Linked DNA regions of Arabidopsis thaliana. The protein of the gene in region 1 purifies or fractionates together with the protein of each later gene. This does not show direct contact. Each region holds a gene or a part of one and is shown in the gene's direction. Other genes may lie near its edges.

What was found.
Region 2: the proteins of PYK10 (region 1) and PBP1 purify together in Arabidopsis thaliana (affinity purification with western blotting, with the first as the bait; one study listed by BioGRID). This does not show direct contact.

What each region holds. Positions count from the first base shown.
Region 1 is NC_003074.8:2,839,135-2,846,192, reverse strand, and holds PYK10 (Glycosyl hydrolase superfamily protein), read left to right. Parts: upstream 1-2,411; 5' UTR 2,412-2,462; coding exon 2,463-2,624; intron 2,625-3,038; coding exon 3,039-3,108; intron 3,109-3,201; coding exon 3,202-3,257; intron 3,258-3,379; coding exon 3,380-3,455; intron 3,456-3,590; coding exon 3,591-3,668; intron 3,669-3,763; coding exon 3,764-3,851; intron 3,852-3,949; coding exon 3,950-4,205; intron 4,206-4,296; coding exon 4,297-4,412; intron 4,413-4,501; coding exon 4,502-4,719; intron 4,720-4,829; coding exon 4,830-4,864; intron 4,865-4,946; coding exon 4,947-5,049; intron 5,050-5,138; coding exon 5,139-5,247; intron 5,248-5,328; coding exon 5,329-5,536; 3' UTR 5,537-5,607; coding exon of another isoform or gene 5,608-5,632; 3' UTR 5,633-5,716; downstream 5,717-7,058. Other genes in the region: AT3G09250 (Nuclear transport factor 2 (NTF2) family protein), read right to left, coding at 5,608-5,632, 5,775-5,837, 5,939-6,452, 6,567-6,705. UniProt on the Arabidopsis thaliana protein: Beta-D-glucosidase active on scopolin > esculin >> 4-MU-glucoside >> DIMBOA-glucoside. No activity with pNP-glucoside, oNP-glucoside and sinigrin as substrates. May possess beta-D-fucosidase activity.
Region 2 is NC_003074.8:5,576,553-5,582,062, forward strand, and holds PBP1 (PYK10-binding protein 1), read left to right. Parts: upstream 1-2,737; 5' UTR 2,738-2,901; intron 2,902-2,922; exon of another isoform or gene 2,923-2,977; 5' UTR 2,978-3,007; coding exon 3,008-3,208; intron 3,209-3,305; coding exon 3,306-3,749; intron 3,750-3,870; coding exon 3,871-4,122; 3' UTR 4,123-4,480; downstream 4,481-5,510. Other genes in the region: JAL31 (jacalin-related lectin 31), read left to right, coding at 5,278-5,478. UniProt on the Arabidopsis thaliana protein: Inhibitor-type lectin that may regulate the correct polymerization of BGLU23/PYK10 upon tissue damage. Activates BGLU21, BGLU22 and BGLU23.

The sequences.
Region 1 (7,058 bases):
ATGTTGAGCTACGAGTTCTATTGATGGTTGTTTACAACAATAATTGGATTGGAGAACAAGAAGTTATACATGATTCGTGAAGTTAATTAGATAAGTTTTTAATACGAAGAAATGAGTCCCGAGACAAAAATGAAGCTTATGGAATTAATTGGTAAATTAGCATGGCGACATACATTTGTGTTATGAAATCATCTAGTTGTAGGCACGGTGATGGATCCCTCAGATGGTCATGCTATCATTTTCGCTTTCAAATAGCGCGACCTAATTTTTTATATAATAAAATTACTAACGTGGATCGCATGGTATATTTTAATATAATAAAAATGTTTTAAGAAAATAAGGAAATGGAAGAGCCCACCGTCCACCAATAAATTACCGAGTAAACGATTTATACGACCGTCGAAATGAACTGAGAAGATAACGAGAAAAAAAGAATCGGAATTATATATTTTGACTCAAAAACGAGAAAATAATTCGTAGCGATTCTAACTCCTACTTTATACCTTAAGGAACACGAAACTTATGAGATTTTATGGAAGTTACAACGTGGTTAGTTTTTTTTTTCTTTCTATTGGACCAGTGTTAAATTTTCAATTTGGCATGGTGTAAAACTACACAAACAGCCTTTCTTTCTCTGACCCGTAAACTACTATTTATCTATTTCAAATCTAACAGATTTCATTATGGCGATAGATATAGTCCTTAAAAATTATATTGGATTCATTAGCAAAACATAACTATACATTGAAATTGTATTGATAAAATTTATATTATTACATGCAACCAAGCAAGAGCGGATGTACACGTTTTGGTGTGGGTGCGAGTTCCACATCAGAATTTGTTTGTCTATATAAGTAATTGTGAGAGACAATCGGAATAATTGGCTAGAATCAGTCTTTTTTTCCTAGTGGATCTTTAAAAACCATTCTTTTATACCAAGCATGTACATGCTGTGGTGTGGGTGTAAGTAAATCCTGCCCCAATGAAAATTGTTTTTGGACTCGCCACTGCAACGAAGTGTACCAACAACTTGACTAGGATTCTAAGTTCTTTTATGTATAGGATGTCTATATTAAACTACCATGACTAACATATATATAGTAGTTCCATATGCTCGATAAACTATGATAGATCAACAATTTTAAACATATAGTTTAACACTATTTATTTGTTCAACGTCAATAGTTTATAGTTACGCATGCGCTCGGCTTAGATTTGGTCCCCAACAGTCGAAATTGTCAAATAATATAAAATAAAAGTTTCATTGTTAGGATTCATTTATTCTTCGGGTGGTTATTGTAATAAAAGGCAAAAGAAAAAGAAGAACAAAATTCACAAGTAAAAAAAAAGATAACATCATTCTTTTAGTCGACAAAAAAAAAAAAAAATCAAAAAGATTTATTCAGTACTACAGTTTAATATTGTTTTGACTTTTTTCTTTTTCTTTATATTATCTGAAAATTCTAGACTGCAGCTGAAACATGTGATATGGATTAAAGGCGTATCCAGTATCCACATAAAGAGGAGTGGTGTCGCTCACCCAGTCACCCTTGTTACTTGTTAGATAGCATTAATACATTTGTAAGCAACAGCTTATCTGATAGACATGTCTTAATTGGGAAATATGCTCTAAGATGATACAACCATGGTTCCAACTGTTGACCACCATAGCTGATAACATGTTGATTACATTTTTTCTTTTCAGTTATAACGATTACTTTTTTGGGGAAATTATTGATATAATATGATTCATTGGATGATCCGATATCATGCATATAAAGTTGTATCTCGTGAAACACGAGATAGTATTATACTCCATTCTTTCATTATCGGAGTATGTTTAAAATTTGAAAACAAATACAGACACGGACCGTGGTCTTTACCTTCAGAAAAAAAAAGAGAAAAAAAAAACAATCCACTGTTTATTATAGGAGTTGTAGAAAATCGGGCAACGATATTCGATATGAGTTATTATTAGGGCCTTATTATTATATGGTATTACTGGATATTACTAAATAAAATAATCATATAAATTTCACATTTTAATATACACTCGTTGGACACGCGGAATATTATATGTTCTAAATGTTAAAAAAATCAAAAGAAATACAACGATCGACGGATCTAGAGTCTAGACCATGCAAATAAATCATCCTATTTAAATATAATAACTGTGCATATAGTTTAGTCAAATAAAAAGGTAAAGAAACAATATACAACCTATAACGTCAATATCCATGTACGTAGTAATAATTAGGATATGACAGAAAACACGATATCTTGATATATACAAAATGAAAACTTAAAAATTGATTAATATGGCCTGGCTGGGTATATTATTATAAAAACATAAAGAGAGATCAATAATTGATTCGAAGATCACTATATAAAGAACGTCTTCGATATGTAAAAGAACCATCCTAAACATTTTTTCTTGAATAAAATCAGAATTACAAACAAAAATGGTTTTGCAAAAGCTTCCTCTCATTGGGCTGCTTTTGCTCCTGACCATCGTCGCCTCTCCAGCAAATGCAGATGGACCTGTTTGCCCGCCGTCGAACAAACTAAGCCGGGCAAGTTTCCCTGAAGGTTTTTTATTTGGCACGGCTACTGCGGCATACCAGGTACAATATAAGTTCCTCTGTGAGCACCTCTTGACATATATATACACAAAAATCTATGAACTATTTCACACAAATAATATGTTACCGTGCAAGATTGTTCAAGACAGTATATATAGTTGAATCCATATATATCTTAAAACTATATATATTGGAGAGTATAGAATTCTATATTTGTAAGACGATGTTTTGTACATTAAAATATATAGAACATCAAAACTATAGTTCAAAACAAAACAATGTTAGCAAAGTAAGAGTATTGTACTGATACTTTTTTCTTTTCTTTGCTAAATTATCGAATGAAATTTGTATCATGATAGTTACTTAACAGCAATTTAACAATATCGTGTAGAAAAATTTAGCCTATAATTCTAAACCATTTCCCTAAACACGTAAGCTATTTTGCTATGGCATTAGGTCGAAGGTGCGATTAATGAAACTTGTCGTGGACCAGCCTTATGGGACATCTACTGTAGAAGATATCCAGGTGAGTGTTTCTACATTATCTTTTACATACTGTATATAGTTAGAATGTTTTGGTTCACCTAATCTTATATTTTTTCTTAATTTTATATTTCAGAGAGGTGCAATAACGATAACGGCGATGTGGCCGTTGATTTCTTCCATCGTTATAAGGTATATATTAATAAAGATTGAAGAAATTATTTATCATATTATATGCATATCTTAATAGTTTATTGATTATTCATTTAGACTAGATGTTGATAAAAAAATTCTCATCTGAAAAATGTTTGCAGGAAGATATCCAACTAATGAAGAATCTAAACACAGACGCCTTTAGAATGTCTATCGCATGGCCAAGAATATTTCCTCGTGAGTAAATATATATAAGGATTGATCGATATACAAATAAATCTAGTTATTTATTAATCACTACTTAGTGTCAATCGAATTTGGTGTATTTACGATGATTGCTATATTAATGAAACAAAACAATAATTTTATCAGATGGGAGAAAGGAGAAAGGAGTGAGTCAAGCTGGTGTGCAATTCTACCACGACCTCATCGACGAGCTCATAAAAAATGGTTACATATATTAATCACTTAAAAACGAAAAAAAAAACATTTATAATCTCTTACGTATTAAACTTCTCTAATTTTTTATTTTTTTCTGTAATTAGGTATAACTCCATTCGTTACTGTTTTTCACTGGGACACTCCACAAGATTTAGAAGATGAATATGGCGGCTTTTTAAGCGAAAGGATTGTGTAAGTTTTTCTGTTGGAAAACGAACCCCAATCACTTTTTGTTTTCTTTGATATGCGAATATAAATGGTATATTCAACAATTTTTTGCAATATTGTAGGAAGGATTTCCGAGAGTATGCAGATTTTGTTTTCCAAGAATACGGTGGAAAAGTGAAACATTGGATCACTTTCAATGAGCCATGGGTTTTCTCGCACGCTGGCTATGACGTAGGCAAAAAGGCACCTGGTCGTTGCTCTTCTTACGTCAATGCTAAATGCCAAGACGGACGATCAGGATACGAGGCTTACCTTGTCACTCACAATCTCCTTATCTCTCACGCAGAAGCAGTTGAAGCTTACCGGAAATGCGAAAAGGTACATCACATATATAAATCATAATTAGTTATCTATCATCTTTCGGATCTGAAAATAGTTTGTTTTGTATTATGTTAAATTATGACCATAGTGTAAAGGTGGGAAGATCGGAATTGCACATAGTCCTGCTTGGTTCGAAGCACATGACCTTGCTGATTCACAAGACGGTGCGTCCATCGACCGTGCACTTGACTTTATTTTGGGATGGTAAGTATAAGTTATAACATCCCTAATTAATTAGTACTATACTAAATATCTTGAAATTTTATATGACGATATTTTGATGGTTTTTGTAGGCATCTAGACACAACTACATTTGGAGATTATCCACAGATCATGAAAGACATTGTTGGACATAGATTGCCTAAATTTACAACTGAGCAGAAAGCAAAACTGAAAGCTTCTACCGATTTCGTTGGGCTCAACTACTATACTTCAGTGTTTTCAAACCATTTGGAGAAACCTGATCCTTCAAAACCAAGATGGATGCAAGATTCTCTTATTACATGGGAGTGTAAGTTTGTTTTGCCCTTACTTGAAACCGAACCAAGAAAACCAATGGCAACAAATCAAAGGGAAAATGTTTGTTTTTGGTACTAATCGAAACCTATCTCTTCTTTTCAGCTAAGAATGCGCAAAATTACGCCATTGGTAGCAAGGTATAAATTTAATAGCAATCTGAAATTTTTATGTGCTACATTTGTCTATGATGCAACATTCTCACCTCTGTTTTATTTTCAGCCTTTGACCGCTGCATTGAACGTTTACTCGAGAGGTTTTAGAAGTCTGTTGAAGTACATTAAGGACAAATACGCAAATCCGGAAATTATGATCATGGAAAACGGTAACTAGAGATTCTATTGTTACTGTCAACTATTATTTGGTTGATTTTATCTTAGAACTAAATATATTGATGTTGATGTTCTTCTTTAGGATATGGAGAAGAACTAGGGGCCTCAGATTCTGTTGCTGTTGGTACCGCTGATCATAACAGGAAATATTATCTTCAGAGGCATCTTTTGAGTATGCAAGAAGCTGTTTGGTATGTCCTATTTCCTTTTCATCTGATATACTAACAATTGTAGTGAAGAATCTAATAAAAACATTTGTGTAATATCTGCAGCATCGACAAAGTGAATGTTACAGGATACTTTGTATGGTCATTGTTGGATAACTTCGAGTGGCAAGATGGTTACAAAAACAGATTTGGACTCTACTACGTTGATTTCAAAAATAACCTCACACGTTACGAGAAAGAATCCGGCAAGTATTACAAGGATTTCCTCAGTCAAGGTGTTCGTCCATCCGCGCTCAAGAAGGATGAGCTTTAAGCTATTTCTGTTTCAATGTGTTTTTCCTATGTTTTACTTTGTGAGTGACCAAGATTCATGAGGTCTTGGTTCTAATAAAAAGAGTTTATTTTTCTTCTCATTTTTCATTGTCTACATGATTTGCCAGATCTACAAGGCTCTGGTTATAATAAAATGATCCTTTGTGCCTCTTCTAGTACAAACGTCACAACTTATGCCTCTTCTCGTTTGTGTGGCGTTTTCATTCCCAATCGCCAACCTCAGAAATAAAAAACAGTCCTTCATCACCCTTAAGCAAACCACCAATGTATCCCACCGCAACCTCCAAACGCATATAAAAATAAAACGTTTTGAAAATGTGTATCGTTTCTTCGATTCTTTGATCAAATATCAACAGGAGAAGCATGGTGAATGCATATAAACCATTGTCCATCGATCCGTTCAAACACATTCGACACAAACTGAGCTCCCCAACTACTACTCCCTTTCGTCTTCACAAACTCCATACACGTTACATAACCTACTTCTCCTCGGACATGAACCTCGACATCTTTCAGCTCAATCAGTAACGGAAACTCATAGTTCATCCACACAAGCTCCCAGCTTTCCATCACGTAATCATAACCAGTTATGCCTTTGGCCCCTGGATGTACACAGCACGGGTTTCCTGATTTTGACCATAGTGATTGCATCGCAGCTAAATCCCCGTTTCTGAAAGATTGGTAGAACCGAGAATTGGCTGATAAAACAGAGGCTTTGTTGTCTTCTTGAAGCTCTTTTAGTTTATCACGGATTTTAGCTGCCTCCACATAATTCTCTTCCTGGACCGCAGTCTCGAGATCTTGCTTCAACGTGTTCTCATCCATTGAAATGCTTTCAACATCCGCAGTTTGGTTATTTTCTTCGCGTTTGACTCGACAAGGCCTTAAACGGGAGCCTGCTTCAAATGTTACCAGAACACTAATCAGAACCAAGTCTAAAGAAACCGGTCTTATCCAAAACCAGATCTTCTACTAGATAAGATGCTCGAACTAAAATCAAGTAGACTCACACGGTTCTTTGTTTTGCAGCTTGAGATGAGCTGACCCAAATGTATTGCTAGCTGAAACCATGTTGCAGTGAATCGGATAAGATTTAGGCAAGTGAAGCAGCCTCATGGAACCACCAAACGGAGAAGTGATCTCTACCATGTTTGAAACCTATCAGGGAGCAAACGATTCAAGGCCATATTAGCACAACAATAGAATCACATAACCATTTGCATCAAGTGGAGTAGCAACAAATTCGGATATTGAACATCTCAGTGTTGAAATTCAAACACTTTCTGATCGAATTTCTTCTAGGGTTTAATCTTAGTACAATACCTACTAATCCGTAAGAATTCTCACACCAGACAAGATTAGAACTCTGTATATGAACCATAAATCATCCAATATCAATGGGCTCTTATTGAAAATCGACTAAATTTCGAGATTACTTACGAGAAACGTATGATAAACATTTAAGTATAGATTAGAGCTGAAGAATCAAGGAAGTAAATCTC
Region 2 (5,510 bases), 2.7 Mb from region 1:
GCCATGTGGGATGATGGTTTCTATGAAGATGTGAGGAAGGTATATGTAGGACAAGGTGACTCCGGTGTGTCTTTTGTTAAGTTTGAGTATGCTAATCGCAAGGAGCTTGTAGCTGGAGTTGGCCATGGGAAGATGTCAATTCTTGGAACAGAGGAGGTTTTTGTGCTCTGTTCTCGTATTGACCTAATAATGTTTTCTTGAGATCCAAGTTTCACTGGTCTTTGTATTTTGTGGCAGTTTGTGCTCGATTCTCCAAATGAATACATTGTATCGGTGGAGGGAAGTTACGATAAATTATTTGGAGTGGAAGGCGAGTTGGTGACGATGCTTAGGTTCAAGACAAACAAGCGTACCTCTCCACCGTTTGGGCTCGATGCAGGCACAACGTTTGCGTTGGAGATGAAAGATCATAAGATCGTTGGATTCCATGGCAAAGCTGGAGATTTTGTTCATCAAGTTGGTATCCACGTCACCCAAATCACCAAGTCTTAAAGCTTTGTGAGCTTTCTCTTCTATTCCTAGAATAAAATTAAAAAGCCATGTCTGTTTGTTACTCCTCAGCTTCTAGTTACTCTCTTTTAACTATGTCTTGCTTCGTTTGTTTGTTATGTGTTATGAAGTGGTCTGCTTCTTTGAATAAAGCATCGTTTTGTTGGAATGTGATAAACTGATAATTGTGTTATGCTATACTTGGATGCATGAGGATAAATGAAAACTAACTATTCAACTAAACCCTAAAACCTATACGATCAAAATTATAGTAAATAGTAACACTTAATGAGACTTTAAAGTTGAGATGTGTAACTAGTCACCACTCACTCATGTTAGTGATTCATGTGTGTGTCAGTGTGTGTGTGTGTGTTTTTATCAAGGTCTTCTCTTAAGATTCATAAGTGTGAATCTGGTGGGACTTAATTGGTCTGGTGGAGTAGAACCTATGCGGGCAATGAGGAAGGTTAAGGTAGGCTAACCGAGCCCACTCTCTAAGTGTTTAATTTGTAACCTTAATTCGTAAATAAAAGCTGTTTAATTTGTAACCTTTATTAGATAAAATTTTGTCTTTTTTTTTGTCAAAAGATAAAATGTTGTCAATCATTTTAAAAACAAAGAAAAAAACTTTTTTGGCAAGAATTTATATATTTGCTTGTCATAAATTTTCCATTTTGTAGTATTTTGAAAAAAATATTTTAACGAATGGAAGCAATAACTCGACAAAAAGAGTCAAACTAAAGTACCTTCACATGCAAAACAAAACGTAAATTTGGTATTTTTTTCCCATTAAAAAAAATATATATATATTCTTGGCCTTGTGTGCGAAGACGATCGAGAACGAGAAGAACGATAAGCTCAATACGCACGAACGTAGATCGAAGACTGGAAAGGTATATCTTCATCAAAATATTCATGATTATGGTTGAGTTTAATTTTGTTTACGTATTTGTTTTAATTTTTCAAAAGTCCACTGTTGGCTGGCTGTTGCTATCTTGGAATGATTTTCATATCTCAATAACTATTGTTTACTCTAAGTTAAATTATTGGGGTGCTATTTATGATGACTGATGAAGTGATGGGAACATGATTGCAATATTAAAATCTCTTTTTTATTTATATTAATTATAAGTTTGTACCCACTTCATTTTAAATAGATAATGCCAAGACGTAGGTATATTATTACTGAATTTATTTTTTAATAATAAGTAAATATGCAGGTTTCAACTAGAAAGGTAACACATCAACAAGAAATACCAAAAACCACTAGCTTACATATTTTGATCATATAAGTATTGAATAATATAGTTATAGATGATCAAATAGTTATTATTAATTACTTAGCTAGTGTAATTTCTATCGATTGTTTCACATTCGCAACAGATAATTATATAAATAAATACATACTACATGTTAACCTTTGTTTTTGTTAAATAGGATGTTTTCTTGATTGATGATCTAGATCAACTTTTAATAATTTATACGTACCAGCTTTCATTCGATCGTGCGACTTCTTGGAATATCCCATGGTACATTTGCAGTCGAGCTAGAAAGCTTTTTTGATAATTTATGAATCATATTAAGCGTCTCTCAATTAGATTAATATTTAGTACCAGTGTAAATGATACAATTATAAATCTTTTTACCAACGAATACAGAATTTGTTTTAGAAATATTCTTCGCAAAATTTTATAATATTTCATAAATCAGTTATAAAAAAAAAAAAAGCAGTTTTGAATTCAGAGGAATTCGTAAATTTCCCTAAGAGTTATTAAAACTAGTTGTGATATTTTGGAGTATTCTTTATGGCTAGATCCATATGATCCGGTTCTTGTATCTAGATTTTTTTTACGGAATATTGTATGATATATCTAGTCTCCTCTTTGGTTCTAAACTTCTAATTAATCTTCGGTGATTTGAATTAAACGTTACTGTTTTTAAATTATGATTAAGGCTTTAAAACATGTTCATACAATAATTACCAAATCTTAACCAATTAGACTCTTAATAAGGAGAACGTATATATATGTTGCAACTTGCAACTTTAGCCCTTTACAAATAATTAATCGTACATAATCTAATTGATAAACGATTCTTTAAATTTTAAAACAATGAATTAGCTTGCTGCCATCGTTTAATGGGCCAACGCCAATATAAAGACGATTAGTTGAGAAGTTGTGCAAGTAGAAGTATATGAATATTTTCATTATCTAAAAAAAAAAATGTATATGAACATGCGTTTTTCCCAGTAATGCTTTTTATATAAATATGCCTCGTGGATCACGAAAGAATAAATTATTATTTCCCTTATTATTTCATCTAGTACGATCAATATCAAGAAGTCAATATAAATAAACATACAATTCACTTTAATTGATCATAGCACCGATAACAATCTACTCTCTTTAAAAGGTCTTATCTCTATTCTTCTCTATTATGTAAAAATTGGTTAATAGTAGATATTAACAATTTATTTTTGCAACTACAGAAATTCGTAAGTACTATCAAGAAGCAGAAGATGGCCCAAAAGGTGGAAGCACAAGGAGGGAAAGGAGCCAACCTATGGGACGATGGATCGACACATGACGCCGTGACCAAGATTCAGCTCGCAGCAGGCATAGACGGAATTCAATATGTTCAGTTTGATTATGTCAAGAACGGACAACCCGAACAAGCTCCTCTTCGTGGTACCAAAGGCCGTGTTCTCCCAGCTGATCCGGTTCCTATATTTTCCTTGCCCATTAATCTTCTTCTTTCTATATGTATACTGTTATATTTTGAAGTTTTGACATTTTCATCTTGATCTATTTCTACAGTTTGTGATTAACCATCCAGACGAACATCTAGTTTCTGTAGAAGGTTGGTATAGCCCTGAAGGTATCATTCAAGGAATTAAGTTCATCTCCAACAAGAAGACTTCTGATGTCATTGGATCCGATGAGGGTACTCACTTCACTCTACAAGTTAAAGACAAGAAGATCATTGGCTTTCATGGGTCTGCCGGGGGCAATCTTAATTCTCTTGGGGCTTACTTTGCTCCGTTGACTACTACAACTCCGTTGACTCCTGCCAAGCAGCTAACGGCATTTGGTAGTGATGACGGAACTGTATGGGATGATGGTGCTTACGTTGGGGTTAAGAAGGTGTACGTTGGACAAGCCCAAGATGGAATCTCAGCTGTTAAGTTTGTGTACGACAAAAGCCCTGAGGAGGTCACAGGAGAAGAACATGGAAAGAGTACTCTACTCGGATTCGAAGAGGTATAATACTTTCTTTGCTCTTTTTGTTGAATGTAAAAATTATACATCAGAGAATTCAAATTCTCTTCCGGTTTCCATCATAATGTATTCAATTGTTTTATTTGGTTTCCAATAACTGCAGTTCGTACTTGACTATCCAAGTGAATACATCACCGCAGTCGATGGCACTTATGATAAAATCTTTGGGAGTGATGGCTCAGTCATAACTATGCTCAGGTTCAAGACTAATAAGCAAACGTCTCCTCCCTTTGGACTTGAAGCTGGCACAGTCTTCGAACTCAAAGAGGAAGGCCACAAGATCGTTGGTTTCCATGGAAGAGCCGATGTTCTGCTCCACAAAATTGGAGTCCATGTTCGTCCTTTATCCAACTGATGATGGAGCTCTTTATCCTTGATTCCATGCATCTAATAAGTTATCAAATCTATCTTCTAAATTTCTCATATGAGGTCTCTTCATGCCTCTGGTGAATGGTGATCTTTGATAAGTGTTTTACGCGTTGTCTCTTGCGATGTTGTTTTTTCTTTGTTCTTCTTGTGCTCTATTTTAATAAAGGAAGTTTGTTCCAATCTGATCTTTAGTTTCCCTATATGTTCTATAATACTTACTTTTGCCATTATTTGGTTCTGATACTAATTTTACTTGCTATAATTCAAACTAAAATCTCAACGTATGAATTGTACAATTTAAAATGCAAATGTTAACTTTTTTGGATCAAATATATAGTTGTTCGTATTTTCTCAGTAAAAAAATCCTGCACAAAGTTTTTATCTAGAATGTGTGACCATATTGAAGTTTTTGGCCTTCTCCAAACATAAAAAGTTATTAGTTAAAAGTATATGAGTTGGCCAAAAAATACGAACCGGTTCTTGTTTCTAGATTGAGCGTTACAGAAAATTGTATTATATATATACTCTTGGTTCTAATTTCTCTTAGGTGATTTCAATTATACTTTTACTGTTTGAAATAATGTACAATGCTGTGGAAACATGTTCTTACAAGACTTATCAAATCGTCAACCAATTAGAGTCCTAAAAAGGGGGTCACTAATTGTAGAATTCTGACTTATATAAATTGCAACTTGCACCCTTTACAAGTAATAACGTATATAATAAAATTGACGACTCTGTGAATTTTAAAAGAACTAATTAGCTTGCTGCCATCGTTTCATTGGCCAACACCAATATAAAGACGATTAGTTGAGAAGCTGTGGAAGTAAAAAAGGAGTATATGAATATTTGAACATGTATTTCTTCCGGTAATGTTTTAAATATGCCTCGTGGATCACGAAATAATAGATTATTATTTCTGCTAGTACGATCAATGATCCTATATGCGGATATATGGTTATATGCAAGAAGTCAATATAAACACCTATGATTCACTTAAATCGATCACAATCTACTCACTTTTGAAGGTCATCTCTCTTTTCCTCTCTATTAGTACAAAATTGGTTAATAATTGAAAATTCACAATTTGTTTTTTTTTCCAATTATAGTAACTATAGTAAGATTGATCAGCAAGCAAAATATGGCTCAAAAGGTTGAAGCAAAAGGAGGGAAAGGAGGCAACCAATGGGACGATGGATCCGATCATGACGCCGTGACCAAGATTCAGGTTGCAGTAGGCGGAATGGGAATTCAATACATTCAGTTCGATTACGTCAAGAACGGACAAACCGAACAAACTCCTCTTCGTGGTATCAAAGGCAGTACCATTCCAACTGATCCGGTTCCTATACATTTTCCTTGCTTATTTGACTT